4 linked regions of the Notamacropus eugenii genome follow. The protein of the gene in region 3 interacts with the protein of the main gene of each other region in a pairwise test. Links are inferred from orthologs where the notes say so. Each region holds a gene or a part of one and is shown on either strand. Other genes may lie near its edges.

What was found.
Region 1: the proteins of MIPOL1 (region 3) and TTC12 interact in binary tests that used the Homo sapiens proteins (3 or more experiments, as listed by UniProt). The two-hybrid records come from large-scale screens. The link is inferred for Notamacropus eugenii from reciprocal best matches to the Homo sapiens genes MIPOL1 and TTC12.
Region 2: the proteins of MIPOL1 (region 3) and CCT3 interact in binary tests that used the Homo sapiens proteins (3 or more experiments, as listed by UniProt). The two-hybrid records come from large-scale screens. The link is inferred for Notamacropus eugenii from reciprocal best matches to the Homo sapiens genes MIPOL1 and CCT3.
Region 4: the proteins of MIPOL1 (region 3) and UBE2K interact in binary tests that used the Homo sapiens proteins (3 or more experiments, as listed by UniProt). The two-hybrid records come from large-scale screens. The link is inferred for Notamacropus eugenii from reciprocal best matches to the Homo sapiens genes MIPOL1 and UBE2K.

The regions. Positions count from the first base shown.
Region 1 is NC_092876.1:140,188,035-140,195,734, forward strand, and holds the start of TTC12 (tetratricopeptide repeat protein 12), read right to left. Parts: upstream 3,626-7,700; 5' UTR 3,529-3,625; exon of another isoform or gene 3,449-3,528; intron 3,321-3,448; exon of another isoform or gene 3,223-3,320; intron 1-3,222. UniProt on the Homo sapiens protein: Cytoplasmic protein that plays a role in the proper assembly of dynein arm complexes in motile cilia in both respiratory cells and sperm flagella.
Region 2 is NC_092873.1:380,398,593-380,406,635, forward strand, and holds the start of CCT3 (T-complex protein 1 subunit gamma), read right to left. Parts: upstream 3,350-8,043; 5' UTR 2,986-3,349; coding exon 2,955-2,985; intron 1,663-2,954; coding exon 1,601-1,662; intron 983-1,600; coding exon 932-982; intron 819-931; coding exon 756-818; intron 430-755; coding exon 333-429; intron 1-332. Other genes in the region: TSACC (TSSK6-activating co-chaperone protein), read left to right, coding at 6,467-6,606, 7,159-7,217. UniProt on the Homo sapiens protein: Component of the chaperonin-containing T-complex (TRiC), a molecular chaperone complex that assists the folding of actin, tubulin and other proteins upon ATP hydrolysis.
Region 3 is NC_092872.1:330,684,676-330,693,019, reverse strand, and holds the start of MIPOL1 (mirror-image polydactyly gene 1 protein), read right to left. Parts: upstream 3,684-8,344; 5' UTR 3,560-3,683; intron 1-3,559.
Region 4 is NC_092877.1:93,757,532-93,765,290, reverse strand, and holds the start of UBE2K (ubiquitin-conjugating enzyme E2 K), read right to left. Parts: upstream 3,455-7,759; 5' UTR 3,432-3,454; coding exon 3,369-3,431; intron 1-3,368. UniProt on the Homo sapiens protein: Accepts ubiquitin from the E1 complex and catalyzes its covalent attachment to other proteins. In vitro, in the presence or in the absence of BRCA1-BARD1 E3 ubiquitin-protein ligase complex, catalyzes the synthesis of 'Lys-48'-linked polyubiquitin chains.

The sequences.
Region 1 (7,700 bases), on a different chromosome or scaffold from region 3:
TCAACATATTTGCTAAAATAACTAAAAATTCCATTCTATATTTCTTAGGAGACTGTGTTAAGAAATCTGAATTTAACTTGTGTCTTGACTGTCGCTGGTTCAAGCTGTGTGACCTTAGACAAATCATTTAACTTTTCTATGCCTCAAATACCTCATCTATAAAGTGGGGAAGATACGTTAACTCCCAGTCTCTGTTCAGCTATCAAACTGATCTTTCTAAAGCACAAGCCAGATCATGTTACCCTCCCTCTATAAACCTGAGTAGCTTCCTATTACTGTCAAGATCAAATGAAAAATTCATTTGGTGCTTGAATCTCTATTACCTGCCCCGCTCCTACCATTCCAGACTCCTTACACTTTATTCTCAATCATAAACTCTGGGATCTAGTGACATTGGCCTCCTGGATGTTTGTTCTTCAGACAAAACACTCTGTCTCCCAATTCTGTGTTTTCACTAGCTGTCCCCTGTGCCTAAAATTCTCTCCTTCCTCATCCTGGCTACCCTGAAGTCCCAACTAAAATGCCACCTTCTAGAAGCTTTTCCTTACCTATGCCCTCTATTGCCAGTCTTTTCCCTCTGTTTTATTTCCACTTTATCCTGTACATAGCTTATTTGTACATAGGTGCTTGCCTGTTGTCTTCCTTTGTAGCCCCAGAGCTTAGCATAGTGCCTAGCATATAGCAGGTGCTTAATAAATGCTTGTTGGCTTGACTTTTTGAGGAAAGCACTTTGTAAACTTTAAAATGCTATGTAAAAGATTGGCTAATGTGACAAAAAAGGAAAATGACATATGTTTGAGACATGGGAAAACTGGGACACTGATACACTGTTAGGGGAGTTGTGAACTGATCCAACCATTCTGGAGAGCAATTTGGAACTATGCCAAAAGAGCTATGAAACTGGGCATACCCTTTGATACAGAACACTGCTGGGTCTATATCCCAAAGACATCCAACAAAAGGAAAAGGATCTATTTGTACAAAAATATTTATAGCAGCTCTTTGTGTGGTGGCTAAGAACTGGAAATCAAAGGCATGCCATCAATTGGGGAATGGTTAAACAAACTGTGATACATAATGGCGATGGGAATTATTGTGCTATAAGAAATGATAGGATGATTTCAGAAAAACCTCGAAAAACTTGTACGAACGGACGCAAAGTGAAGTGAGCAGAACAAGGAGAACATCGTGCAGTATTGCATGATGAAGAACTGTGAATGAAGCTGTTCTCAGCAATACAGGATTGAAGACAATCCCAGAGGGCTAATGATGAAATCTGCTATTTGCCTCCAGAACTGATACTGTCTGAATACAGAATGGAGCATTCTATTCTTCTCTTTCTTTCAACTCAAGTCTTCTTGTACAAAATGACTAATGGAAATGTTCTACATGATTGAACATACATAAACTATATTGGATTGTTACTGTCTCAGTGAGGGGAGAGGGAAAGGGGGAATAGAATTTGGAACTCAAAAAGATTATTAAAATGTTAAAAATTTGTTTTAACACGTAATTGGGGAAAAATAAAATGTATGTATCTTAGTGTTAGCAGTAGTTCCAAACACTAACACCAACCACTAACCAACTGCCACTTATGAGCAAGTATACCCACAAGCCTTGGTAACAGCATTGGTCTCTCAGACCACTGGCCCTCAGCCAACCCTTTTGGAGATGCAACCTGGCAACTGATTCTGCTGGCTGGTGCTAAAGTTACCCCCTCTGCAAAAGCTATATCTACTAAAGATTCAGATAAGTAAGTCCTGGACACCGAAGTTCTAGGCACTGGTAGATATCAAACAGTCCAACGTCAAAATCACATATGATTTTATAAGCTGAAACATTAAATTGACAAAAACTATCTGTTGAACTACTGCTCCCTAAAGACCAAGAGAACTTTCCATCTGTCCTGAAGCTGAACCTTCCTATATGTGTTATTTCTCCTGATAGGAAATGAGCTTGTGGAGAGCAGGGGCTGTCCAGCTTTTCTTTCTGTATTCCTAGCTTGTAGCACTTTGCAGAGAGAGTGTTTCATAAATGTTTTTTTTTTCCATTCATTCACTGACTGACTTTCTTAAATGTTGTCATCATTTGATCCTCACAACAACCCTCTGTAGTAAAACAGGTATGGCAGGTAGAGAAGGGGAAGAGAACGCATATTTATACAACACTTACTGTGTGTGCTAAGTACTTTTTACAGATATTACCTCATCTGACACATTTTACAGATGGTCAGACTTTAAGTGGAGAGTTGGACTTAGGGAATGAAGGTCAGATAATAGCTGTGTGTGACAGAGGCTTTGCTGGTAAGGACTCCCTACAAGGATACTTTCTGACTAAGATATGGCATAAAGAATGAATGGAAAGGCGGTCATATTAGAATTTCATCTGCAGGAATGTTTGAATGGAAGAGGGCTTTGCTGGAGGCCCTTCTGGCCCAGAAGGAGCTCTCAAATAGTGTTCTTAGTGTGTATGTGTTATGGTCTCCTTGGACAATCAATGGACAAACCCTTCTCTGAGTAATGTTTTTAAATGCATAAAGTAAAATACAAAGGAAACTACATTAGCACATTTACCTACGTAATCATATTTAAACCTAACAGGAAACTGAGGCTGAGAGGTTAAGAAACACAGTAAGTGCCTGAAGCAGGATTTGAACACAGGTCTTCCTAGCTCCAAGTCCAACATTGCATCACTGTGACAATGTAGCAGGCTGAATTATACTGAAATAGTTATACATTTTTTTTTAAAAAACAAGTTCATATTTTTAGTAATATTGTAACGAACAACTGTGACTTTGCTACTGTAATCCATGCAATGATCTAAGATAATTCCAAAGTAGGCACGGAGAAAAATGCTACAGACTGATGATCTCAGTGCAGATCGAAGCATACTTTTTTCACTTTTATTTTTCTTGCTTTTTGCTAATCTGGAAATACATTTTGTATGACTTCACTTGTATAACTAATCTACTGCCTGCTTTCTCAGTGGGTGAGGAAGGGGTCGCGGGAGAGAATTTGGAACTCCCAATTTAAAAGAAAATGTTAAAAACAAACAAAATCCTTGATTTTGTAACCTGGATGGACTCGCAGGCTCGGCATCCCTGCCGTAGTACCGGGATCACGCCGCTAGGTGACGTCCCCGCCGCGGCCCACCAGGCTAGGGCCAAGTAGACGAGGCGGGGGCAGAGGTGGGCCCCTGCACCCTCCGAGTTTCTTTTCGCACCTGGGGCACTTCCACGTCCCGGCACCGTCTAGGCAGCAGCCTCCTCAGATCTCCACCTAAGCCAAGCCAGGCCCGGACCGGAGCGCGCTGGCGGCTCCAAATCCCCACCCCGCCCCCATCGCGTCCCCGTTGCCCCGGCAACCACTGGGCCGCTCTCCTCTCCCCACCCCCACCTGCCCAGCCAGCGGCCGGCCCCGGAGCCCATGGTGGTCCCGCGGCGCCCCACCTGTCTCAACCGGACCTCTCCTGCTTTATCCTCTCGCCGTTCAACCCCGGGGCTCGGCGCCAAGGAAGACTCCCGCCTACCTGGCTCCACAGACTTGGGGGGTCTACTACTCGGACTAGAAATGGCGGTCGCCGGCTGGGAGAGCGGGGCAGAGATTGGCCAGCTAGAGGGAGGGAGAGGGGAGGGCCCGTGAGGGGACGGGGCAGGGATTGGTTACTGAGAAGGACGGGGCGGGGCGATTGGCCTTCCGGGGGGCGGGGCCAAACGGTCAGGTGTGCTTCAGGCCCGGCACCAGAAAGGTGCTGAGGTTCTAGGGCCCCCCTCCAGGCCCGGGTGGCAGTCCCGGGAGGGGTGGGGGTCGAAAAAGGGCAGGAATCGGAGCTTGGGGGTGGCTAGAAGGACACGAGATGTGCGGTCTTGGGCTGGTCAACCTGTGAATGATGTTTGGATGGAGGATGAAAGACAACTCTCGGAGGAGTACGAGGAAGGGCCCGAGAACTGGATGGGAAAGGTGCAGCCTCTTCTCCTTCCCCTTCCTCCTCGTCCTCCTCCTCGTCCTCCTCCAAAAATGGCGGTCTCTTCATAAGGAGGTTCTTCCAACTAACCTCCCCCTCTCCCCAACAAGCCAGCCTCCCTGTTCTTGTCCTAGCTGTTGCCCAAGCACGCTGAAATGGTTCTTTCCAAGGTTACCAGTGGTCTTTTTAAGAGCCACATCTGATGGCCTCTTCTCAATCATCATCCTTCTCCTCTCTAAAGTCTCCTCTGCTGGATCATCACGTGTGTCACACCCAACCACCCCCTCACCCCAAATTTTTTTAGACGTATCCTAATATTCTGTCTGAATCCTTTATTTGCATATACTTTCTCCTTTATTAACCTCATTATCTCCCATGGGTTCAAGTATTCTCTCTAAGCAGATGACTCCCAGATTTATATATGCAAACCTAGTCTCTCCTCTGAGCTTCAGTCCTGCATCATTAATTACTTTTTGGATACTTCAGATATGTCAGGTGTTGTTTTAAGTGCTCCTTACAGATATCATCCAATCTGATTCTTTTTATAGGTGGTGAAACTTGAAGCTGAAATTGCTCTATTGACCTGAATGTTTGTTTGAATGGGCATCTGGAGGTCCCATAGGCATCCCAAACTCAACATGTCAAAAACTAAACTTATCTTTCCCCTCAATCTAAGTCTTCTCAGAACTGTGATATCTCTATGGAGGGTACCAGCATCCTTCTAATCATCCATGTTCAAAATCTAGACCTTAGCTTTGACTCTTTACTAATTCACACCCCACATAGTTAGCTCTCAAGTCTTGTAGATTTTACATGAATGAATGAATGAGGGAAAAATTTTTATTAAGCACTTTCTATACGGAAAATGCTGGGTAGGCAAAGAAAAAAAGCAGACAGTTCTTGCCCTAAGGGAGACCACATTCAGGGGAGTAGAGGGCAAGGAGGGAATCTTTAGTCCTGGAAGGTACAGGATTGGTGAGTGTGGGCATAGGGGAGTAGATTCACAACTGGAAAACTTTTATGCATTCCCTCCTTTCTGTTTCCCCAGAAACCATCCTTAGTTCAGGTCTACATCGCTTCTCTCCTGGACTCCTAGTGTAGCCTTCTAATTGATATCCCTTCTTCAAATCTGTCTCCAGGTACCTCTCTCCACACCACAGCTAAAGTGTTAGGTCCAGCTATGTCATTCAAAACCAATAGTTCCCTGTTGCCTTTAGGATCAAATTTTAACTCCTCTATTAATATGGAAAGTCCTTCCAACCTGAACCCTTGCCACCCTTATCATCGATCATTTAACTTCTCTAACTCTCTGGTTAGAGAACAGAAACTATAAGAACAAGTGAGGCCCTTCCCTTTACCTGTCTTAATAGATTTGAGGGACCCACTCTGCTTAGGAAAAAAGGGAATAAATAATCACTGAATCCTCTAACCATAAAGAATATGAACCAAAGGATGGAGGGTACAGACTAAAGGATGCTGTGGGTAGCCCAGAGTAAAATGCTATATAAATATCAGTTATCATTACTATTCTTATGGTGGCATGGTAGGGAGAGAGGTGGTTTTGAGAGTCAGGAAGACCTGAATTCAAATCCAGCCTCAGAAACTTACAACTGTGTGGCCCTGAGCAAGTCACTTAAGCTCTATTTGCCTCAGTTTGCTCATCTGTAAAATGGGGATAATAATAGCACCTAGTTGTGAGGATCCAATGAGGTAATAATTAAAGTTCTTAGCACAGTACCTGGCACCTAGTCAGCATTACATAAGTGTTAGTCATTATTATTATTATCATTATTCCACTTCTGACATATGCTGACTGGATGACCTTGGGCAAGTTACAACCTTTCAGGGGTTTAACCCAGGGCTGTCAAACTCATAAATGGGACCCCTAGGATCTCTGCTGGGCCTCATGTTGACTTAGAAAACCATGCTTTTTGTATTTTTATTTATTTTGTTAAATATTTCCCAATTTACATTTTAATATGCAATCTTAAATTAAATATTGTTAAATTATTAATAAATTAAATACAAATACTAAATTAAACATTAAACCTCTAATACTATAAGCTATGGAGAAGGTACATTGGAAAGGAGGATTCTCCTCAGGTAGTCCTCTTTACCTGCTCCATTTTCACTCCATTCCCTAGAGAAATTACTCTGAGATAGTCATATACTGTAGCTATTTTGAAAAGAGCTTTCTCAGAATGGGTCTGATCTGGGGTCCTCCGTTCTAGAGAGCAGGGTGCTTACCTCTCACTAAAGGGGGAGGTTGGAGAGGTCAAATCTTCACGTCCGCCTATAGTGGTGGTGTTTTTTTTCAAGACTACAGGTATTAGGAGAGAACAGATACGATGTTTTATAATGTTCTCTTCCCAAATCAACAGAAAACCTTAAGCTCTGTTTTGCAGCCCTCCAACCTATTCTTCTTTGAAGATATTTTCTAAATCTGAAGGCTGTGGTTGCTACAAGAAATGAAATTCTCAGACCTAGGGAGAATGCATCTGTTGGGTTGGCCAATCTACTTGGACTGAACAATTACCCAAGAGCCACCCTCCTCTGTCTATATCCATTACAGCAACACACTGGTTACTTGGATTCAAATTACATTTCCAGCATTTCTTAGATATGACTTTGGCCAATCACTAAATATCTTTAAACATTCCTTCCTTTGTCTGTAAAATGGCAATAGTAATCCTTGAACTACTCATTTCCTAGGGTTGCTATAATGAAAGGACATTTTATGTGGAGAAAAAGAAGGCAAAATAAACTGAGTAAGGAGAACATCCATACTAGTTTCCAAGGCTCAGAACAGATGTTATACAATAGAAGGCAAAGAATGGATAGTCCATTCTTTATCTGTATAGGCATACCTTGGAGATATTGTGGGTTCATTTCCAGTTAAGTGAGTATTGCCATAAAGTAAGTCACACAATTTTTTGGTTTCCCAGTGTGGATAAAAGTTATGCTCACAATATACTGTAGTCTATTAAGTGTGCAATAGTGTTATGTCTAAAAATGCACATACCTTAATTAAAAAATATTTTATTGCTAAAAAATCGAATCATCTAATCATCAGCTGAGCCTTCAGTGAGTCACAATTTTTTTGCTGGTGGAAGGCCTTGCCTCCATGTTGATAGCTGCTACCTGGTGAGGGTGGTGGTGGTTGAAGGTTGAGGTGTCTGTGGCAATTTCTTAAAACTAGACAGCAGTGAAGTTTGCTGCATCAACTGGCTCTTGCTTTTACTTGAACACTTAGCAGCCATTGTAGGGCTATTAACTGGCCTAATTTCAATATTGTTTTGTCTCCGGAAATAGGGAGACCTGAGGAGAAAGAGATGGGAACAGCTGGTAGGTGTAGTCAGAATCCACACAACATTATTGGATTGTTTGATGTCTTATATGGGAGCAGTTAATGGTTCCCCAAAACAATTAACAAGAGTAATATCAAAGATCCTTGCTCAAGGTCACCATAACAGTTATAATAATAATGACAAAGTTTGAAAAGTTGTAAGAATTACCAAAATATGACACAGATACAATGTAAGCACATGCTATTGAAAAATTGAGCCAATAGACTTGCTTGATGTGGGGTTTTGTTGAAAGGAAAATTCTTCATTTGAGCTTTCACCCTGATTAACAAGGCAAAACTCAGGACAAAGAGCATTAATGAAAAGAATTTCATTATAAGTATGTCAAAGTAGCAACACTGGAGATCAGCAATGGCTTCAAGGTAGAGACAG
Region 2 (8,043 bases), on a different chromosome or scaffold from region 3:
AGACAATGGCTTTACCCTAGGTGGAATGCGTACAGCCTTCCTCCTCTGACAGATAAGGAAAATGAAGTCACCAGATGGCAAATGACTTGCAAGGTTATTATTTACAATATGAAGTCAGGTCCTCTGACTAAAAATCTAGTGCTATTCCTACCATGCCAAATGGTCTATATATCACTAAACTAGGATTGAAAAGTTCACCTTCCATGTTTGAATCTATTAGGTTATGTAGAAAAGTAGCAGAAATTATTTAAATTGTATTACTATCATACATCTGTACAGCATTTTACTCATACTGTGTTCTGTTTCCCTTCATTAACTTCCCTGTATCTTACCAAGAATAATCACTGATGTAGTCCCATCACCAACTTCTTCATCTTGGGTCCGACTGATTTCAATCATTGATTTGGCTGCTGGATGCTGGACTTGAATCTGGAGAGGATCAAGACAATTCAAGACAATTCCCAACATCTTTTTTTCTGTCTATCCTGCTTGTCCCTAATTCAGCTCTCTACCTTGGAGATATGCACTTGTGTATTTTCTTACTCTGCTTCTAAGAAGATTACAAATAAAAATGATCCTACATAGTAAAAGCTGGAGAATTCAGCCTTTATTATCTATGTAACCACCCCTTAAATTCTCTTTCTGAAAAATGCATGCACAATGCCCTTATCACCTACAAAATCTTCTTAGGAAAAGCATGCTAATATCTTCCATTTCACTTATGAAACTACAAGAACGCAAAATAAAAATCAAACCTCTCGGAGAATGGCGTTGCCATCATTGGTCATCACAATACCACCCATTGGGTCCAAAAGCATCTAAGAAAAAATCAGAAGACATTGGTGATGTATGTTCACTAAGTTGAATATACCAGGGGTGGGTAAATTGAGGTATTTCTTAGTTTGAGTGTTGCTAAAAGAGCTAAACTTACCTTCATCATGGACTTAGGTCCCAGACATGTTCGGATGACATCTGCAATAGTCTGATGGGAAAAAAGGTATAGATATGCAAATTCTAATGTGGCCTTAAATATATATATATATTTAACTTCAATAAAAGTGACAGATAAAGAAGTTGTACAACAGTTCTCTATTTGTACTGGTAGTTTTCGCAACTGGAGCTCCATATACAAAAGAAATCATGAATGTCAGAAGTGGGAGTAGGAAGGAAGAGGAGAAATGACAAAGAGTTATGGCTGACCCTCAGAGTCAAAAATCTTTCAGGTGAATGTGTCAAACTGTTTTGAGGGAGAAGAGGGCCACACAGCTACTTTTGTCAATGTGGGAGAACTCCCAACAAGCCTAGTTGAACTAACTGGCAGATGAGTTTGGGGTCCTTAAGAAATGTTTCCCTGAGCTTTCCATGCCCAATAGTCAGACACTAAAGGGACTGTCCATTCCATTCACAATCCGCCAGGCAAGTAAACTTCTGTTATAAAACACCAGCTTTCACTCACTTCACATATCACCTTTTTGCTTTACTGACTTTACTTGTGTATATATATCACTGAGGGATTGTTGTGATACTCAGAAAAAAGAGAATCAAGTCAAACTGTAAGACTAAAACAATCCTGGGGGGGAGGGGGTCTAATGAAAGATACCTTGGCAGCACTGATGTTCCCTGATTGTACTTTCCTTCCAGATTCCCGTTTTGTACTCTGACCTGAAATGCATGAAAAACAAAACAGTTGAACAATGTCTCATGATTGCCTTTGCTTTTTCACACTTGTGATGAATGAAAAGTATTTATATCAAGTGATTAGTATTTGATAAGCATTGTACTAAGAGTCAGAGCCACAAATACAAAATTGGGATAATCTACCCTCAAAGAGTTTTACCTTTTAACCCAGGAGACAAGGCATAAGATATATATAAGGGAGAGTTAGCCACGAAAGAGACATTTTCCCAACATCACTGAGAAAAAAAATACATTATCTCATAACTTACAGAACTCCCCTCATATTTTTGGTCTTATTTTTCACTAGAACAAATTCCAATGACGTTAGAGAAAAATGGGAGAAAAGTTTTTAATAGATGATTTTCTGTTTAGCGTTACTAAAAGTGTTCCGGTGTGCGTACAGAAGTAACCAGAGCAGCGGCTGAGAATGCCATACGGCCTAGATACGTATGTATAGGCACTGAAGCAACCTAGGTAGCAGCGGAGGATGCTGTATGGACTAGACGACTTCCCACGTTCCTCCTTCCGGCTCTAGAGCCATGATCAAATTGTTCTACCTCTTCAGGATCTTCAAATCCTTCAAGGTAAGACAACCCAGGTCACAAAGTATGGAGGCCGCAATTCCTACCAATACCAAGTCACTTCTAAGGCGTCCTGAGTCCGTGTCAGGGTCCCACGAACACGGTCTGAGGACAACACAGCCTCTATAACTCAAAGAACAAAACTCGACACGGGCTGGGAAAAAATTCGGGGAGTTGATGGAGGGAGGAGAAAGAACCCCGAAGTGAGAGGGGCTTTTACAAACCGCTTTCCTCCCAACGACCCGGTGGGGCGGGGGGTGCAGGTCTGCTTCCGTTCTACGGTGAAGAGAAGGGCCCCTCTAGGGGTCGAACCGCTACCTCTCAGGACAAGGATGTGTTTGTGGGGGCAGGGAGATCTGCGGCGGATGGGGGGAAGAAATCACGTGGAGAGGCATTAATGAATCGAGGAGATCTGCAAGGCCAGAAGGCAGTCCTGGGCCCTGGATCGGGAGGCCGGTCAGGGAGCGCGCAGGGGGTTGCCTCCCTCAGTGGGAGAGAAGTCCTGGGGGTGGGGGGGAGTGACCGAAGGGCCAGGGATCCCGCACCCGCGGGAGATCCGGGCATTACTACGGGCAAATGAAACGACGCGCAGAGATCAGTTGCGGGGGGATTCCTGGGGATCAGGGGCCTTCCGAAATGGGTGTGGGGAGGCATGGCACAAAAGGTCGGGTCAGCCTCTAGTCCCCTACGACTTACTGAGCACGAGCACGGGGCGATGGCCCATCATGGCGGCGCGGAGCCGGGAACCGGGAGCTAGGTGAACCGGCGGAACCTTCTGGAGATAGAGCCAGAATGCGGTGCCCGAGCAGCGCCGCCGCTACAGCGCCTACACCTAAACGTGCTATCCTTTGTGCTGCAGCCAATCCCCTCACACGTCTCGTTGACAGGCACCAATATAAGCCAATCGGTACCTACGGTCCCGCCTCTCTGGCCCGAACGGCTATGCAAGCTAGGTAGAGAGCGTGCCGAACGGAGGGGAGGGGCAGCTCAAGCGCAGGCGCAATTGGATGACCGCTCCCGGCCGGGCCGCGTGCAGACTCTTGCCGGTGCCCTTCACGCAGCCGCTTTAGCGCAGGCAGTTGATTGGTTGGTGTTTCAGCGCGCAAGCGCAACAGCTCCTGGGTGGGGCTCTGGAAGCGGGGAGAGTTTATGCTTTTGTTTTACATAGCAAGTGAGTGAACTGAACCATCTCCTCCTGCTTTACCTGGCCTCTGAAGAACTAGGAAGACATAACAGCCTTCAATCAGTCAGTTCGAACCCAGCAAAGGTGAGGGAATGGCGTATGGGCGAGACGTCAACCGGCATTTGAGACAGAAACGTGACGTTTTGCCGCAGGGTGATATGGGAGTTGTAGTCTTCAGGACTGGATAACAGTACATTCCCTGTACGTGCTGGGATTTGTAGTTGGTTGCCCAGTTAGCTTTGTGACCGAATCTTTGCCTTCTTATGCTATTGCTGTTTACGTGATAACCAGTAATAATAACTCACAATTTTATACCACCTAAAAATGTACAGTGCCCTTTTCATACAAAAGCCTTGCCAGTCATGTAGTTGGAGCACCCTCGTTTCGCTCATCAACAGATTTATTCAGCAGCGAGCATTAGGCACTGTGCTAAGTGCTGGGGGTACAAAGAAAGGCAAAAACACGGGCGCTCCCCTGTAGGAACTCACATTCGAATGTGGAAGACAACATGCAAACAGCTGTATACATACAGAATACATCTAGGGGGAGGGAGGAAGAAGGCAGAAGGTGGCATTTAAGGTATCGTGAAGGAAGCTAGCAGGTGAGGAAGAACCAATCAATCAACAATAAATGCCGAGCGTTGTGGGAAGCAATGAGGGTATAAAAAGAGGTAAAAGATAGTTCCTATGCCCAAGAGGTTTGCAGTCTAACGGGGGAGATAACATACAAACAACAAAAGCTATATACAGAATAAATAGGAAAATATTAATGGAAGGAAAGCACTAGAATTAAGAGGGTTTGGGCAAAGCTTCCTGCAGAAGATGGGATTTTAGCTGGGACTTAAAGGAAGCCAGGTGAGTCATTAGGGAGAATTGAGAAGAGCTTTCCAGGCATGGTGCAGAGCCAAAGAAAATGCCCTGAGTTGGGAGGTGAAGTGTTTTCTTCAAGAAACAGTCAGGAGGCCAGTGTCACTGGACCGAAGAGTGCTGACTGGGAATAAGATGTAAGAAAACTGGAAAGGTAGGAGAGGGCTAGGTTATGAGGGTCTCTGAATACTAAACAAAGCATTTTAGTTTATGGAGTAGGGGAGAAACATGGTGAGACCTGTGATTTAGGAAGATCACTTTGGTGACTGAATGGAGGATAGATTGGAGTAGAGAGACTTGATTCCAGAAGACCCATGCACAGGCTGTTTCAGTAATAGGGAAAGCAGGAGAGGAAGGGGATGGTTGAGGGGGAAAGACAATGAGTTCTGTTTTGGACATGTTTAGCCTAAGAGATCCTATTGGAGATCCATTTTGAGCTGAAAGGCATTTGGAGATGTGAAATTAGAGATCAGCAGAGAGTTTGGGGCAGGATAGGTAGATTTGAGACTCATTAGGATGGGGATGATAATTCTTGGAAGCTAATGAGATCCCCGAGTGAAGTAGTATTGAGGGAAGAAAAGAAGAGAGTGAAAGAAAGAACCCTGAAGTACACCTACCTTTTGTGGGAGTAACCTGGATGAAGATCCAGTAAAGGAGATAGAGAAGGAGTAGTCAGACAGGTAGGAGGAGAATCAGGAGAGAGTGGTGTCCCAAAAACCTAGACAGAAGAGAGTAGTATTAGGGAGGAGAGAGTGTCAGAGGCTTCAGAGAGGTCAAGAGGGATGAGGTTTGGGAAAAGTCCATTGGATTTCACAACTAAGAGCTCTTTGGAGAGAGCAGTTTCAGTGGAATAAGGTGGAAAGCCAAATTGTAAGGGGGTTAAGAACAAAGTGAGAGGAAACAAGGTGGAGGCACCTATTGTAAACGGTCTTTTTGAGGCATTTAGCCACAAAGAGTAGAAGATATATAGGATGATAGTTAGTGGAGATGGAAGGATCAAGTGAGGGTTTTTTGAGGGTGGAGGAAGACGTGCATGCTTGTAGGCAGTAACGAATAGGCCAGAGCTGAAAAGTAAGTATTATGGTGGGGAATAACAGAGCAGGCAATCTGTTGGAGGAGGTGAGATGGAGTGGGATCACTTAAACAGGTAGAGGGTTAACCTTGGTAAAGAGTAAGTCCATTTCATCATGTGAGGCAGGTGAAGAGCAGGTAATGGCAGAAGGCTTCTTCTGAGTGATAAGAGATCAGGAAATGATAGGAGATGAGGAAGGGGTGAGAAGAGGGAGTTTATTGTGAATAGCTTCGATCTTTTTTTTCTGTAAAATAGAAGGCAAGGTTCTTAGCTGAGAGGATGGTGGAAGGGAACTGTGAGAGGTTTGAGGAGGGATGAAAAAATTGGGAAGAGCCTCTGTGGAGAGCTGGATGGTGAATGGGTGAGAGAGACATAGTAGGCTTGCCTAGCAACATGAAAAGAACATTCTAGGCTTGGGGAACAACCAGTGAAAATGCACGGAGTGTGGAGGTGGAGTAACTGTTCCGTGAACTACTACAAGACAGTAGGATTGTAGAGTACATGAAGGAGAAAAAAGCGTAAGAAGACTTGGAAAGGTCCTGGGGGCTGGGTTGAAAAGGACCTTCCAAGACAAACAAAATAGTTTATATTTGATCCTGGAGGGAATAGGGAGCCACAGAATTATTTTTTCAGTAGTGGGTTGATAGGTCAGACCTGAGCTTTAGGCAGATCCCTTTGGCTGAAGGGACTTAACTGGGGAGAGACTTGAGGTGGGGACCAAGCCAGCAGGTCTATTGTAATAGACCCTGGTCATGTGATGAGGACCTGTACTAGAGTGGTAGCTGTGTGAATGGAGGCTCCCATTTTTGATGACTTGCTGCATTGTCACACCTAGTAAATGTCAGAACCAGAATCTAGGCCTCTGTGGAAGTAAATGATAGTAATGTTTCATAGCTCTTTGTACTCTTTGGAACTCTGTGCTAGGTATTAAGTATTTGGAGGAACTCTGAGAGGCAGTCTGCCAAAGTGGTAGAGACCTCTCTGGAAAATGAGGAAGACCTAGGTTCACCTCTGATACATCCTGGCTGTGTGGCCTGGGCAAGGCACTTAGCTTCTCAATTCTCTAAGATCAAGTGCAGATAAGGTGATGACTGCAGGGAACAAGTTATTTCCTTACCTGAGAATTCTTCATACCAATAAAAATCACAGGTCCAGTCTCTGTTCTTTGTCTAAGAACTCTGAAGTCTCCCAGATCACCTTCTTTTTTTGTTGCCACATACTGAAAAGGTTGTGTAGGGATAGTTGGGGAGGTTGTGGGGATCATGGCAATACTGTTTTTTGTTTCCTTGTAGGATAGAAAAGGAAGGAAGGGTTGACATTGTCCAAATTAGCTAGCCTAGAGTTCTTAGCTGTAAAGGAAGACACTGAGAGGTATGGGTAGGGTGTTATTTACAGAAATGTTCTTTTCAAGAGTCTTACAAATCTGGGTTGGGGTAGGTATACGTGTGCCCAGAAGCAGGAAGGTAGTACTGGTTTATTTGTCACCACTGGATCATTTGTATTAGTAGAGTGAAGGTGAGGGAGGCAGTGATGCTCCTCAAGTAGTAGATGATGAAAAAATTGTTTATATTTGACTTTGTAATGTAGACACAAATGTGGAAATACAGTGTCTTCCTTGTGGTGGCTCACTTCCTAGGGGAAACAGCTTAAGATCTATCAAGGTTATGGAGAGGAGGGTTTGTAATTTACTGAGAGTTCTATATAGTTGTGATAAGAATACTTAAAATAGTACAGAAATGAGATGTTTTCCAGCCCAGTGATATAGCTGTTCTTTCTCAGGAACCAGAACTTTGCTAATCAGATGGAGAAGCCAAAAAGTAACTCTGCCAAAAGAAAAGGTAAGTGGCCTGCAGGAAGGGGTCCCCCTCTTCTCCTTTAAGTCTAAGACCTTCTTCATTCTATAGTAATGTGTCTAATCAGCAGTTGGATGTACATTTTTTTCCTGCCATCTTTAATTGTACATTTTCACCTTTGCCCTGTCTTCTCTGTTAAATAGTCATACCTCAAAGGATACTGTTCTTTTGTACCTCCCCAGTGTACCTATTAGGAGGCTTTCTTAGCAGTGCTCACCAGACACATGGTAGTAACTCAGGCCAACAGACTTTATAGTATAGGTGGGCTGGTTGAAGTTAGCAGTGACCTGGGATGACTTCTGGATAGGCATTCTGTGAAAAGTCTGAGATAAACACTGCTCCATATTTCCGTGAACATGACTGTATACAGGCAGGGAAGAGTGGAATCTTGTTCTGTGATTTGCCATATCTAAGCCAAAATGACACGTAGGTAAGGAATATATTATTTGCATGATATGAGATATCTCGCAAACTGTTTGCTGATTTCAGTTTATCGATAGCTTGGACTCTCTCATTTATCTCTGGTACCTTAGATAATTCTTCCTCTAGCTCAGTGGGCTTCAGGCCACTTTAGAAAGGGGAATGTGTCAAGATAGAGGCCTAGAATGGTCTAAAAATCGAACCAGTGCCCCTTTCCTACCATCTCGACTTTTGGGGTTCAATCTAGAGTTAAAAACTGAAAGAACTGGATTTTAACAAATCTTTTCCCTCTGATTTTTTGGTAATACCTTCCCTCTCCCTCCCAACCCTGTTCCACTCCATAGTCTGCATTGGTAGTTAAAAATATGATGATTTTGTGTAAATGATTCCT
Region 3 (8,344 bases):
CCAACCAGTTGAGGCTCGATAACATTTTATAACTGACCTGGTTATCAGTTGTGCAACTATAATGGAAAATAATTCTTATCCAGGTTACTCCCTAGATCTATACACTAGTTATTTCCCCTTATCCAGATAGACTGGAACAACAAATTAATGTAAATTTTTCTTCATAGATGATATTGATGAAGCTGTTTGGAAAATTGCTAAATCCAATTATGTGGTACTCTCTCCAAAGGAATATAAATTTTGATTGCTTATACTTCACAAGATATCTTAGGGTTTGGGGGCTAGATTTTTTTTTTATTTTTTATTTATTCCCCCCCCCCCAAACCTGGGACAATTAATTCTTTTGTCTCAACAAGTTTTCATTTGATTTTTTGAAATATAGTTCTGAAAAACAAGGCTTTGATAAAGCCCATTGGGATTCAAATGAAACTACTTGACTGTGTCTTAAACTCAAATCACTCAGGCTCTCACTGATTGGCCAATAATAGATCCCAGCTCAAGCCTCACTTGGTTATTGCCTGGTTTCAGAGGGCTCAAAGTGAGTGGAAACAGTAATTGTTGTCGTTACTGGCCAGAAGCCCTAAGGGTCCTCTTCTCACAGAACGATTCTTTTGAGAAGGCAAACTAGGTGATCTTTGGCCTCATTTCCTACAAGCTTTAAGCACTGAAGGGGTGTTGCCTGAGACAAACTGAGACCAAGAAAAGACCATGGTTTAAAAAGGTCAAACTCTCCCACACCCTCCTGAGAGGAGGGTCCTTTGAGAACAAAGGACAGAACAAATCTAGTTACTGATCCCACTAAAAATCATTATTATACTCAAAAACTCATAGGTCATTTGGAATATAGTGTAAAACAGCACAGAAAGTGGCACAGATTTGGTGCTAGGGATCCTGTGTTCAAATATTGGCTTTGTAACCTCTCCTGGACCTCAGTTCCCTTATCTCTAAAATGAAGGATTTAGAGAAGACCTCTAAGGTTCCTTCCAACTCAAAATCTATAATGCTTTTGACGAGGTGCTTGGTCCCCAATTCTAAAATCACATTTCTCTCCAAAATTACATTTCTCCCTATCGTCGAAACACTATCCCAGGCAGTTTCTCCTCAGTCCAAGGACATTGCACCCTAGATCTCTCTTCCTGATACAGTAGCCAGTTGCACCTACAGTTTCTATTAGTTTGAACCAGCTGTGTTCTGCTGGCTGAATTGGCCGTGAACTGGGTCCTAAAGATATTTACTACTCACTAACCAACCACAGGTGTCCTAGACTTAGACACAGGTACACTCTCTTACATTTATCTCGTCTAACAAGACATTGATGGGAGCATCCTGAGTATTTCTCAGTCAGCCCTGACCATTAGTGGACTTAGTGATGTTTCAGGCCTAAAACCACACCTCCATGTAGCCCTCCCCTCTTTGGGCTATTTCCCAATGAACTCTGGGTAAAGTACCAGTGAAGTAGATACTAAAAGTGCATGTTCCTTTTAAGAACTAACCACTCCTGAACCACTCCCTAATCCTGCCCTGAATCACCTAGTTAGCATATTTGGCAGGTTATACTATAGAATATACTATATAAACTTGAACTGGACCCTTTTTGGGTTGCAGGTTCCCTAACAACTCTTGCCCGCTGAAAAGCTTAATAAATCTTTACTACCTTGACCTCAAGAATGCTGGAGTTTGAGAATTCTTTTCCAGATGGCCCACACAGGGAACTTAGTCTTGGTGCTCAGGTATCTTCTTAGCTCTCACTCTAATCTCACTTTCCCCAATTCTAAAGTTAGGGATTTCAACTAAAATGAGGTTACAGAAACATAAAATCCAAAAGTTAGAAAAGACCTCAAAGAGGACCTAGTCCAACCCTATACTCAAACAAGAATCCCTTTCTTGACAAACTCACTGCTCATTCATCCTTTACCTGACAATTTTCATTGAGGAAGAATACCCGTCAAGGAAATCCATTTGACTTTTGGATAGTTCTAATTGACAGGAAATTTTTCCTAACACCAAACCAAAATTTAAAGCTTAACAGCTTCCACGTAGTTTACCGATGGGGCCAAAGGGAACAGCTCTATTCCCTTCTAGAGGCAAGAGAGACTATATAGAGCCCTGGACCTGGAGTCAGGAAGATGAGTTCAAAATCAACCTCAGACACTTATGTGACCCTCAGGACACATGTGACCCCAGGCCAAATCACTTATCCAGTCTCCTTAACTCCTCTCAACTGGGAGCAAGCTTAATGCTCACTGAATGATTGATTCAAATCAATGATAAAAATGTTAAATAGCACAGGACCAATCACTCCATCCATCCACTGGAGAACCCTCTCTGAGTTGATACCAAACCATTAATAACTACTTTTTGAATAAGCCCTTCAACTAATTACAAATCCACCTGAAGGTAAAATTATCTAAACAAAATTTCTCTACCTCTTCCTAGAGAACAGCAAAAAGCATTTGATCCTATAATCCTAAATAGTCACCATATATACCTAAAATCTTAGCTATACCTTTATTATTCTCTGATACACAAAATATGTCATCCTAAAAGCTGTGAAGGCCAGAAGGGGGAGGAGGGATAACAGTAAAAAAAAAAAAAAAAAAAAATACAGCATTATTTTAGAGCCAAATGTCCAATAATATAACTAGACTAGAGATTCCCAAGCAACAATAAAGAAAGGTGATGGTAAAATTGTGATTTCAGAATCTCAATTCATGATCTTGTTTCAAATAATAGCTAGCCTTTGTTATCATCGTGTAGCTTAAATAACACTCCCACACATACAGAAAAGTGCTTTAGGCACATTTTCACAAAAAAATAGGTTACAAAGTTGCACCACATTGTCATGACTGTAACATTGTAACACTATGTCTTTCTGTTTTGTTCGGTTGATTCATGGACCAAAAGGTAATTCACCAACAGAGCTGGGTTATCGCTACTTTCTAGATGAAGAACCCTAGGAAAACGATGTTCAAAACATTACTCCTGTTCACACGGCTCCCTTCATCCAAGTAAAGTCAACGTCCTTGAGTTCACCTCCTTAACCAGTTGGACAAGAGGGCTTTCTGATAGTTCTCCAACAAATGAGAGAAATGTTGCACGGGGAGAGATTAAATAATTTGCTCGAGAACGCAGCACTGTCAATGGAAGAATTAGCCTCGAAGCTCGAATCCCTCAAGGGCCCGCTTTATTAAGCAAGCGTCCGCCTAAAGCACCCCAACTTTTAAAATTCTGGGTCGGTTCCCCGCTGCCAAATGCCACTTAACGGGGTGCGAGGCGGGGAAAGAAGGGCGGAAGACTGTGCAATCTCTAATCTCTGTCTTCACGCAGATCGCCGCACGAGGGAGGACTCCCAGAGTCCCCCCTATCCCAGCCCTCTCCTCCTCCCCATCCTCCCCAAAGCCCGGCGGCAAATGAGAACAAGCAGGATGAACTAAGTGCCAGAGGACGTGGCAGCGGCTGCCTCCAGTCCCATCTTCTCGGAGGGACGACGAGAGGCCAGAATCAAGCCTCCTCCCTCTGGTCCCACCACCGCCGCCCAGCCCCGGTGCTAACCCTTTACCTGCGCTCCGCCCGGCACCTCCCCCAGCCCCGTGAGTTGCGCGCACTCAAGAGTTTTTCTACTCCGGACGTGTCGTCGCCCAGTTGACCAATCGCGGCTCGAGAAATGGTCAGCGCCCCGCCTCCTTCTCTTCCCTCCTCCCGCAATTCTACTCCCTCGCCCAGCGGCAAAAAAAAAAAAAAAAAAATCTAAGGTCGGCTGAAAGTGGAGCGCGCGCGCTCCCGGAAAGCACCGAAGAGAAGAGCCAAAGGAATTTTGCTCGAGCACGCGCCAGGCCCGGAAGGGGCGGGATCTAGAGGCTGCGTAGAGGGGCGTGGTCGGGGAATGGGAGGGATTGACAGAACATGCGCGAATCGGGGTGCGGGACTGTGTTCTTGGCAAGGGCCGGGACCTGGGAGGTGTGGAACGTGCAGAGAACTTTGAAAGCCAGGAGAAATGTGGTGATAGGGACCAGAGGAGCGAGCCCTATTTGGTCTGACCCTTGAGTGGGTTAAAAAGCAGGAGGAAATCTACAATGGAAAACCCATCCTGAGGGCCTGCTAAGGAGTGGGGTGTGCTTTTGTTTTTCTCGGGGACGAGGTCTGGGAGCGGTTTCGGAAAACAGATCTATGACTGGGTGGAGCCTCTCATGATCTTAACACTAGGTGGCGCCTTTTTAATTCTCTCCTGCTTATTCCCGTTGAATGGGAATTGATTGTAAAAAAAAAAAAATCATTTGAGCCGTAAGATTTTGATTGGTTACACTGTAAGGTAGGTGTTATGGGGGACAATTAGCCAAGGATAGTTAAGCAGCTTGTAGGCGTGGGCGGGGCCAAGTCCTTCCTTGGGCGGGGCCTCCCCTTTGACCACACCTCCCCCTCCACCCCTTTTCTCTTCTCTTACACTGGATTTGGGGGGAACTTAGCTTCAGCTGCTGGCCCTGGCTGTGAAACAATAACTTGCGTTGTGCTGAGACAGAAGAGAAAACTCCCAAGTTCAGTTTAAGATTCTGGCCTTTGGGAATGCAGCAGGAAGACAACATAGCTGTCCCAGAGCCAGGCTTCTCATGTCATCCCCTCAGGGTTCTTTGGGATCCTGATGGACTCCATAACCACCTGGCAGAATCCTGAACCGGTGGAGTTCCCCCCTCTCTCCAGGTTGGGCAGCAATTCTATTTAACCACTTAATATCAATTAACTTTTAGCACGGGGCATTTACCCCAAAGACAATAGCTGGAACCAAAGTGTAAATATTTCCCCCTTAAAACTCAGTTCCTACAGAGCATTGGCCCTGTCAAGTTCTTGTCCAGATGCAGCATAATTTACCTTTTGAGTCCTCCCTTCCCCAGAAACTGGAAATTGGGCTTTGCTTCTAAAGAAGCCCAACAAGGCTGGTTGGCAATAAACAAAAAATGAGCCTAGACTCCAACTCCAGGATTTCTGGAGTTAATTTGAAATTAACCATCCACCTTTGTGGTTGTTCTTCATTCCTTAAGTCCATGCTTCTCTTCCTGTGATCCCATGGACCACAGCACTCTACAAGCCCCTCTGTCATCCCCTCTCAGGGGATGTCCAGGTTCATGTTCCGTGTTTCTGATGAGTTGTTTGGGTGCATGTACTTGGGCCCCAATTCTAAAATCACATTTCTCTTTAAAAATCACATTTCTCCCTAGTCTCAAAATACTATCTCAGGCAGTTTCTCCCGAGCCCAAGGACACAGCCTGCCCTAAAACAACAGCCTGTTATCTCCCTTCCTGCTATGGTAGCCAGATGCACCTATAGAACTGATTAGTTTGAACCAGCTGTGTACTGAACGGACTGTGCCCTGGGTCATAACGACATTTACTACTCACTGACCAATCATATGTATTCTAGACTTGGACATTCCTATACTCCCTTGCATTAATCTTGTCTAACAAGTCATTGACGAGAGAAACCTGGTTATTTCTGGTCAGCCTTGACTGATGGTTGACTTGCTGACGTTTCAGGCCTGCTATTTCCTGATGAATTCTGGGTAAAATACCTGCACAGTAGATATCAAAAGTGCATGTTCCTTTAAGAACTGACCACTCCTTAACCACTCCCTAATCCTACCCCAAAATACCTAGTTAGCATATTTGGCACAAGTGATACTATAGAACATGCTATATAAACTTTCCCTGTACCCCTTTAAGGTTGCAGGTTGTCTAAGAACTCTTGCCTGCTGAAAAGTGTAATAAATCTTTACCTTGATTTCAACAGTACTTGAGTTTGTGAATTCTTCTCCAGATGACTTGCCCCTGATACTCTGGTCTTTGTGGGGGTCTCACACCCCCTTTCCAGCCCTCATCATTTCCATGGCACTGTCTGTGTGACTCTGAGCTTAACTTTGTTTGCTTCAATTTACTCATCTGCAAAATGAGCTGGAGAAGGAAATGACCAACTACTGCAGTATCTCTGCCAAGAAAGCCTCAAATGTCAGAAGAGTCAGACACAACTGAAAAACCCTTCAACTAAGAATACCTTTTAAGCTTGTATTTATGATTGCACTTTAAAGCTTGCAACATTCTTTACAAGTATAAGATTATATATCCTCAAAACCTTAGAAGTAGATTTTATTATCTTCATTTTACAGATGAGGAAACTGAGACACTCAGTGGTTGAAGGACTTGTCTAGGGTCACCCAGCTAGCTTCATAGGCAGTATTCAGGTCTTGATGGCTCCCAGACACAGCATTCTGCTACTAGCTACCTGCTGGAAAATTTCAGATGCAAAAGGCAAAGAACAGGGGCAGGTAGGTGGCACAGTAGATAGAGCACAAGCATGGAGTCAGAAAACCTTGCTTCCTTATCTGTAAAAATGAGCTAGAAAAGGAAATGACAAAACACTTCACCATCTTTGCCAAGAAAACCCCCAAATGGGGTCATGAATGTTGAAGTTTAGTGGTTCTGGGACACCAAAATGGTGGCATGCAGGTCCTGCCCAAATGAATTCAACCCATGCCTTCTTTCAGCCAAAGAAAAATAAAGTTTATTAAAAATCTGTCATATTGGCCAGACTCTTAAGGAAGCTGAGACTACAACATCTACAATGGCAAGTGAGTCAGACTGAATTTGAGCACATTCATGAAGGCCTAGATGGATCTTATATACAGAAAGACTGTGGGAGAGATCTAGGGTTGGCAAAGTAGGGGTTTAGGGAAGGTCTTGAGGAGAGTGGCCAGTAGTCTCCAGTGACTAGTGGTCGGAGGCCTAGAACCAAGATAAGATTAAGGGTGGGAAATAGCCTCAGGTGATCTGAATGTAATAGGTAACGGAAGACTAGGCTAGGTTTAAGTGTTGTAGAGCTTTGGGCAGAGGGATAATGAAAGGCTTGTAGCCTCAGGCAAACCAGATCAAGTGGGAAGATCCAAGGAGAGTTCAAGGGGGTTTCCAGAGCTTGTAGACAAATGGGACCTAAATTCTTTTGGAGTAAGGGGGAAAGGTCTCAACTTGGGCCTATACCCAGTCAATGAAAAGTAGGGCTCTGCTGAAACCAATGAACAATAGCAATAACAAAGAACAGAGGTCTGTTATTCACAGCCACAAGCCCTTAGACAGGAAATCAAAGCAGATCAGAATAGGTTACTTTATGTCTTCATATGCTCCATAATCTTGTCAAATCATGTCTCTTACATATCATCATGACTCTCCAGGATACAGATAATCTCCAGTCTCTTCACCTGGCACATCATCCCAAAGCATTCTGCACATATTCCAGATCCCCATTACAGGAAGTTTATCTAAATGTATGAATTATTAAAATCACAATAGTTCATGGTAGTCAGAGCACTGGACTTGGAGACTAGAAGGCCTGTTAAAATTCTGCCCTCGAATAATACCTGTGTAACTCTGACCAAGTGACTTAATCTCTCTGGTCCTCAGTTTCCTTATCTGTAAAATGAGGAGGTTGACCTCTGAAGTCTTTTCCAGATCCAAGTACATGATAAGCACTTAGGCAATCTCTAGACTGCAAGCTGTAAAGAAAACTTCACAGCAGCTTAAGTTCTTAGTAATCAAGCTGCACCTGACTTTCCCATAGCTGAATGAATTTTGGAGGGTGAAGAGTGGTCTGTTGGGAGATGACCTAATTACATTTTTTCTATAGATGCCATTTTATTATCTTATCTTTACTGTAGGCTGACTTCCCTTTCTACATCTAATTGTTGTAAAAGGATTTGTTTGTTTTTTGCAAAGGAGGACTTTGGTAGCTGAAGGAATTCTGTCCCTTTTCTCTATCTTGTCTATCAGGTATAGGTGGTTCCCTTTGATCTCATGTGAACAGCTATACTAACAAAGACACATTCCTTCTTGTGTAATAAGTGATAAGCATCCTTTTTTTGTTGTTGTAACAAATAGATATTACCTCTACTGTGACCAGCAAGTCTCATCTAAGGAATGATGAAATTGGTATAAATTACACTAGTCAAAATGTAACAGACATACATGTTCATCATTTACTGATGTGTGTCTCACTCTGAGTGAATAAACTACAGTTGTTCCTGTGTCTGTATCTGTATCTGTGTCCTGGGATGGCTTTTTTGCAATGGCTAGACAGGCTAGATCATTCATGTAACCATCATCTCTGATCATCTGGTAAGCTACAAACATACACGTACAACTTTTCATGGGCAAGCATTGATTTCACGTGAAAATAAGAATCAGTATAAAAGAAGAAATTAAAGGATAATGAAGAAATTAATTTAAAAAATGGAAGGTAGATTGTAACCAGTTGTGAGGAACTCTGAGGAAGCTAAGTAAGTTATGCTAAAGCCAACTATTCACTACTA
Region 4 (7,759 bases), on a different chromosome or scaffold from region 3:
TAACACAAACATCAAAGACTTTAAAAACCCACATGGCATGAAAACCTGATATGTAACATGTAATTAGTACGTATTCAAACTAGTTTCATTTTAACAAATTAGATTTTATTCTACAAATTTAAGTTTCTTCAAATACAGGTCTATAAACTCTGCCAAACGTGTGGAGATACAAATGTAAAATAAATACAACTAATTAAACTACGGTCAACATGTAGTACGAAATAAAAAATCAAAAAGTAAGAGCCTATGTGTTCTCTAAGGACAAAACACTGCCTACTAAACTGAAAGTTTAAAAATATACAAAATTATAACCACTCAAAATGAAAAGCAAACTTTTTTAATCTATGTATTTTTAAGCTAATTATGGGTGTCATTTATCTCTTCAAAATCAGTGATCACATTCAAAACACTGAACATGATGATCCTTTAAAGACCCTGTGGGAAGACCACAACCTCTTTTCATATTCCAAGAGCTTTAATTTTTTAAAATGAATCTACACTGGAAGAAAACCTGTTCACTATAAACAGTCTTAGATTCCAGGATGAAAATATCTCACTAAAAAGATCACCTTTTTCCCCCTCATCGTTCCATGAATTCCATTTCAATGTCGTTGAAAATAAACGTTAAAAGCAAAAAATAAAAATTCATGGTTTTAAGACTACCTTGCTATCAACAATAAAAGTAAAACTAAATAATAAATTCTGATGGATAACTTGGGGCTAAACAGCGGACCTACCTTATGACCCATTCCATTAATTTTGAGTTACTATTTCTTTAAAAAACATTTTTGAAGTGACTTATTAAGAATAGGTCCAGAGATCAAACTCAGATGAAACCTTAATAGGAAACTTTGAAAAGACTATGTGTCAATTAGATTTCCAAACTCAGACCTAAGAAAAAAATCTGGACAATCCTTTCACAAGATAATAAGTTAAGAATTCTTACTATAAAAATGTTCTTTTACAACTACAAAGGTTTCTGAAATGCAAAATGCCTTTGATATCAGCTGATATTCTCCATAAATACAGACTCAATATATAAGCAAACTTTGGACAGAAAAGAAAAAAACCCAAAGTAGTGAAAGAATACGACCAGACATTCAAAATATTGTTAACATTAGAAACAAAATACATGAATTAAGCTAGGAGTCCTCTCTTCTAATGAGCATAATTGGTGTTAGAATCCTTTTATAGAGCTTGATCTAATAAAAATAAATGATGGAACCTGTTTTCATCCAAGATTAAAAGGCTGAGACCCTTCCCGGGCAAAAGTCCTTTTCTACTGACTTGGGGGAAGGAGGACAAAGAAGGAAGTGCTTGCTTTCAGATGTATATGGACAGAGTTAAGTTCCCAAAAGATGGACCCTGGCATATAAGGTTTTTCTTCTGGACACACCAAGATAGTTTTCTCATTCTAATTTTGCCACTCCCAAACAACTCCCATGGGGACAAGGAGTACACAGGAATACTTGTATTCATTCAGTTATGCATAAACAAGTATTTCTAGAAACTCTGAATTCAAGTCCTTAGAATACCATGGTAATAAATCAGTCACCATTAAAACGAGTCAAAGAAACCAATATTAGAAGTAGTAAGGTGTACTTTGTAACTAGGAAATAGAAAAGGAAGCATTAAATCCATATTAAGATTTGTACAACTATTTTTAAAACCTATCCTTTTACTACGGTTACTCAGATTGGATGCTCTGAAGCACCTCCATTTCATTAGTTAGAATCACCCAATAGTCTGTAGCAGTGCAGACACTTAGGACTCTGAAGAGCGCAGTGGTTTCTGCACTGTACCACAAAAATACACAGTCATTCTTCCATTCATTTTGGCACTTGAACAAACATACAGGTCAAAGTTCACACACATGCTCTGTGGAAAAGACTCATCTGGAATACTAACACAATATACAAACATCCCAAATGTATAAAGTAGCTAGCAAAGTAATTTTTTTTAAATCACAGGATACTATGTCTACTTGCAAAGATGTGGCATTTTTTTCATATGATCATTGCAGACTCAGTAAGTTTTTAGGCCAGATGTCACCCTAGTAATGATTTCAATAGAATACTAAATTTCAAAAGTAACACTACTACTTATTACTAAAGTATCATAATAAGAAACTTAAAAGAGATCATGATCAGAACGTAATTATACTAAATATTCTGCTTCTATTTTAGGGAAGATACATAAAAATTTCCAATTAAACAATTCCATACTCTGATTATCATATGGTAATAAGTAATGCATCATCTATATCTGTTTTAAGTGGGGGAAAACTGTTTTGAGAGATCAGCATTGTTGCATGACAAACCATAAGAACATTACCAGACTGTAACATACATGAAGCACTAATAGTATGCATCGGTCTAGAAGGAACAGGAAGAATTTTGGCCAGCTGGAAATTTTTAATCATTCTTTGAACAGTCAATGATAATTAAATCACCCATCATTCTTGTTCAGAAGATAGTCGGTGAACCTTCCTATTTTCAAATGCTCTTTTTCAAAGATATTATACAAGTAAACTAAAAGGGACATAATTAAGTTTAGTCTACAATTTAAGCCACTGAGGCAAATGGCTTAAAGAGATGGTGTCTACCAACCTTTAGAGATTATATAAAAACACAGTACTGTAATCTGTTCTCACCAACCACTGTCACTGGCTAAAAATATTAAATTCACCGAAGAACTGCCTGCCCTCAGACAAACCCTGGAAGGGTCAATGCAGAGGCCCATTCCTGGGGCACCTGGAATGAATCATTGATTTCAACTGAAAAAAATCTCTTCCCTCCACTAGGACACTGAGCCACCATGTTGTCCTGGTCCCTTTCCTGCCTACCTTTCATCCAACCCATCTAAGAAGAAATCCCCCCAAGTATCGTCCTCCCTTTTTTCAGCAGTGCCCAGGGATCTTTCCCCAAGAACAGATGGGGGAGCCCTCCGGTCCGGGCCCCCGATCCCCCACCCAGCAGGGCCTGGGGCAGACCTGCTTTCCGTCCGTTCTCTTCCCACCTTTCCCCTTCCCCCAACCCACTTCCCGGGGTTTCTCGGCCTCGGCCTGCTCCTTCCCGGCGCCGCCGCAGCCACACTTCCTGCAGCGGCGGCCGTGGCGGCCGTGGCCGCCGGGCCCCTTCCCCAACACGGTCCCCCCCAATCCCAGCCTCGCCTTCCGCCGCCCTCCCGCCGGTGACACGGCCAAACCGGGGCCCAGGGCGGGGGGTGGAGGAGGGAGGCCGCCTCCCGGACACGGCGCGGAGGGGAGCCGGGCGTGCGGGGGGCCGCCCGCGGGGGGCCGGGGGGGTCGAGGAGGTCGTGCCTGGGAGGGGAGGAGGCGGGGGGACGGCCGGGAGTTCATTCCTGACCTCCTCGCTCTTCAGCACCTCCTTGAACTCTCGCTTGATTCGCTGCACCGCAATGTTGGCCATGTCTCCTCCCGCAGCCGTTTCGCACCCCCCGCCTCCGCCGCCGCCACGACCGCCGCCGCCGCCGCCGCCACCTCCGCCGCCTCCTCCTCCCTCAGCGATTCAGACCCGAGCAGGGGAGCCGTGCCGCCGCCGCCGCTCTCTCCTCACAGTGGATTCACCTCCGCGCCCGGCCACCAAAATGGCGCTGGGGCCGCGCATGCGCATGGCGATCGCCCAGCCGGGCGGCGCAGCGGCTCTCGTTGGAAGCCCCCAGGAAGCTTCTGAGCCGCGAGCCCGCCAGCCGGCCGCGAGCTTCAGCCCGTGCGCCGTAGCGTGCGTGGGGTGGTCCCGGGCTTCCGTGACGCGCGCGCGCACACTGCTCCTTCCCCCTCCCCCCCTACTCGGGGATGGGGGCTTACCCGGAGGGGCCCCTATTCAGGCTTCGCCCCTTTCCTTTAAACCCTTCCGCCGGCTGCTAGGCCCTGGCCGCCTCCCGGACCTTGCCCGGGGACTTGGCGGCAGCAGGCGGATCAGCGCACTATGAGGACCCCCTCATCCCCCCAAACGCTTCCCAGTCCATCTCCCTGCAGCCAGCCGGGCGAGGAGAGGAGGCTTTCCGGAGAAGAGAGAAAAGAGGCACCGCAGAACTCCGACCTTTCCTTCAGGGGGCCCTCCTCAAAATCGCCGCCGCCTTTTTTTTGGGTTTATTTTAGGATAAAATCAGGACAGCCCTAACAGGGAATTAGGTTCTCCTTTCTGCCGCCACCCCCACCACCCATCACAAAAGAGTGCTGACGAGGCGCTAGCGGGATACTGCCGCAAAGCCCCCCCGCATGGCCCGGGCCAGCCCGTCCGCAGAGCAGCCGAGAAGCCGCGACGCAAAGCCCGGAGCGGCCTGGAAGTCCGGGCCAGCTTGGCCAAGGGGGTGGAGGCGGGCGGCTTCCCTGGCCGGCGCCCGTCCGGCCCGGGAAGGGCTCGCCATCGAAGGCCTGCCGAGGGGGCTGCGGCCCCCAAGGCAAGAGCTAGGGAGGATTCGAGGCCGGAGTGGGACCTTCGGGTACGGAGCCGGCTGGAGAAGGACTAGACAGGGAGGGGGAGGGGGGCGGGCCGCCACGAGCTTATCTCGCCTCCAGGGACCTGTCTTTGGGTGGGAGGCTTATCTCCAAAGAGCGAGGAAAGATACAATGTTACCGATGTGGTTTTACACAGTGTGCCTAATAAAGACAAGATGTATCCATAACCGCTACAAAAAAATGCGGCGGCAGAAAGGGAAACGAACGAAACGCCCCAAAAATATCCATTTCCCAGCTGACTAACGTCAGACATCAGAGGCTCCCAGCAGAGCCCCCTCGTGGTCCAGAAGGGAGCCGAAGTGTCTTATGTGGGTCACGGTGCGTGAACAGCCCGGCCAGACGACTACACGGAAGTCGGGGTTTGGGGGTTGGGGTTTTTTTTTTTACTTTGTTACGCAAACCTCTGCGTCTGCGCCTGGACCGGTTTTGATCCAAGGGTTTTGGGGTTTACACGCCATCAAAGGGGCATTAGGTCTCAGCCCATAGACACGTCTTCAATGCAAGTCCCCAGATTCCCAACATGAATGAAATTCACAAAATACCAATAGTTCTTTACCAGAATTTTAGGTTTTTCTATAAAGCCATCCGCCAACACCACACAGACCCTTCTGAAAATACGGTAGTTCACCAAGATGATCAGTTTACGAGTTACTCGGCCACCTCAGGTAACATTTTTCTTTTACCTCTTAGTAAGGTAGCGTGAATTATCTTGTGTAGTCGATGTGATATAACTCCCTTATTAAACTTTCACAAAGGCAAGGGCCGGCCGGCATCTAACTTAATGCTGAATTCCTCACATATCCACGTACCCTTTTACTAGGAAAATAAATGACTGTTGCCTTTAAGTTGGGATCCCAGATTGAAAGCTGGGAAGGTTCGGTCCAACCCCCTCATTTTGAAGATGAAGAAACAGGCCCAGAGGTGGAGACTCATTCAAGGTTACAACAGGAGTAAGTGGCAGAATTATTGGGTCTTGAATTCCTATCCTCCGATGCCAGACTCAGCAGCATTCTATAGTAGAGAGGTATTTAATAACTACTTATTGAACTGAATTTTTATTTTAAGGGCTGAGATTTCACAGGATTTCCCATCCTGTGTGCTGCTGGTGTTGTTACAGATGAGGGAAAGGGTTTGGATTGAGAAATGGATTTTCTAATGGCTTGGAGTACTGTGGTAACTTTTGTTACCACTTAAAGGCCTGTTTGGTTTGTTTGTTTTTTTCTGCGATACATTTTATTTAGACTTGACAGAAGATTCCTAACAAAGCATCCTCCAAACCCTCCCTTATTTCTCCAATACAGTTCAAGGAAATAGTTAAACAAAATTGCCTTGTAGACTACTAAAAGTTTTGACTCAGGCCAAATTAAATACCATAGTGTAATAAGGTATGATTCCCCTCTAACGGCACAAGTAGCCTCCACTATTTTAGAATACTAGAATAGTCATGATTTTCCTTTCAAAGAAGAAATAAATATTCAAGATTTCTTTTTTCACTCTTGCATTGATCTTACTGCTCAATTCAGGCACTGTGCTAAGGGTTGGGGATACAAAAAGGCAAAAGACAGTCCCTACCTTTAAGAACTTCACATTCTAACTGCCTTTCTGGGTTGAAGTTTTTTATTCATCCTGCAAAACAGTTCTTTTTTATCTTCATTCTTTTCCTGACAAAGGACATCTGGTATTTTGCCAGATTCTTTAGACTTCTTTCTCTTTCTTTACTTTTACTTCCATCCCCCTCATTTGATTCTCTTTGAAAAATCTCTTTACTTCAAAACATTGAACTCTAAAATAATTTTGCTTTCACTGCACTGACTGTTAGCATACTGTTAGCTCTACCCTTAGCATACTGTTAGTTTCCCTGGGCAGCTGGAATGGGAAGCTCCAGCTGCAGGAGGAGAAGGCTACATTTAGTTCCAGACAGTCAAACTTCTAAACTTAGCTCCAGGCCAGTGGGGCACCAGAGGATTGATTGTGATGCATGCTGCATTATTCCAGACTCAGAATGCATTAGAAACCTGACCAATGTGACTTTTAAAAGATTTGCAGAGTGAAGCAGAAATGTTACAAGGCCAGCTTTGCAAGTGCAGGCTCCCAGCAGAGCCATAATGGCCATCATTATCAAGATAGTAGAAAATGGGGATGTCTCTGAACAAATTCAGAGTGCTTGGAATTCATAATAAAATTTTTCACTCTTTTATATTAGACATTAATAATAATGTGGATTCTAATAAATTAACCTCTTACTGTATTTATTAATTTGGCTTTAGGAAAGTTTAAAATAATATTTACCAATGTAACTTTCAACATTTTTGTATACTTGATTAAGCAAAGCAACCTTAGACCCTAGTGGAGATAGCCCAGGATCCTGAACCCAAGAACCCAGCAAATAGCAATGTACTCTAGTGTATGGTGTACCCCAGGTCCACTGGACCTACATACCACCCAACCTCCATAGCTATCATGAGGGGATAGATCATAGTGGAAAAGAGATCCATCTTTCCTCATCACCAACAGCATCTCTCAGATGGAATGAGGAGCCCTGGGAATGGCAACATCTCCACAGCAACATAGGCCTCACAGTCATCCTCTAGGAGGGCAGCACCTATGGAGAAGGAACCAGTTATCTCCACCAACTGTCAACCAGCTGCCACACACAGGACAGGCAAGCCAGACTCACTGAAGCAGCCAGGCATCCTAAAGTAGAAATAGGGAACAATTGTGCTAGGCAAGTCAAGTTTGTCAGATCCCTGACAAAGACAAGCCCAAGACTCTGACCAAGAGCCTGGGAAATAGTAACTCTTCCAGCGTTATCCAAATGCCATCATCCTAACAGTCAATTCCTCTGGGGATACATCCTGGCAACTACTTATGTAGGTGCTGTAGCCGCAGCTTTTAAAGATGGGGGAAAAAAAGTCCTTGACACTGCCAAATGGTTCAACATCAAGAATAGGTGAATTTATCAGTGGAAATGATATTAAAAAGGAGACACTAGCATCTGCTTTGCCATTGTACCCTAAAGACCGTAGGACTTTTCCATGGGACTTGTACCCGAAACCTTCCATATGTATTATCTCCCCTATTGGAATGGAGCTTTCTGAGAGCTTTTCTATTTATATGCCGAGTGCTACACACATAGTAAGCACTTAATAAATGCTTTATTAATTTATCCATTTATTCACCCTACTTATGGAGGTCTGCCAATTACATTTCCCAGATTCCTGTTAGGGTCTTATGTAGTTTGGAGGAATCAGTTCATTATTTCATTGACTTTTCCAT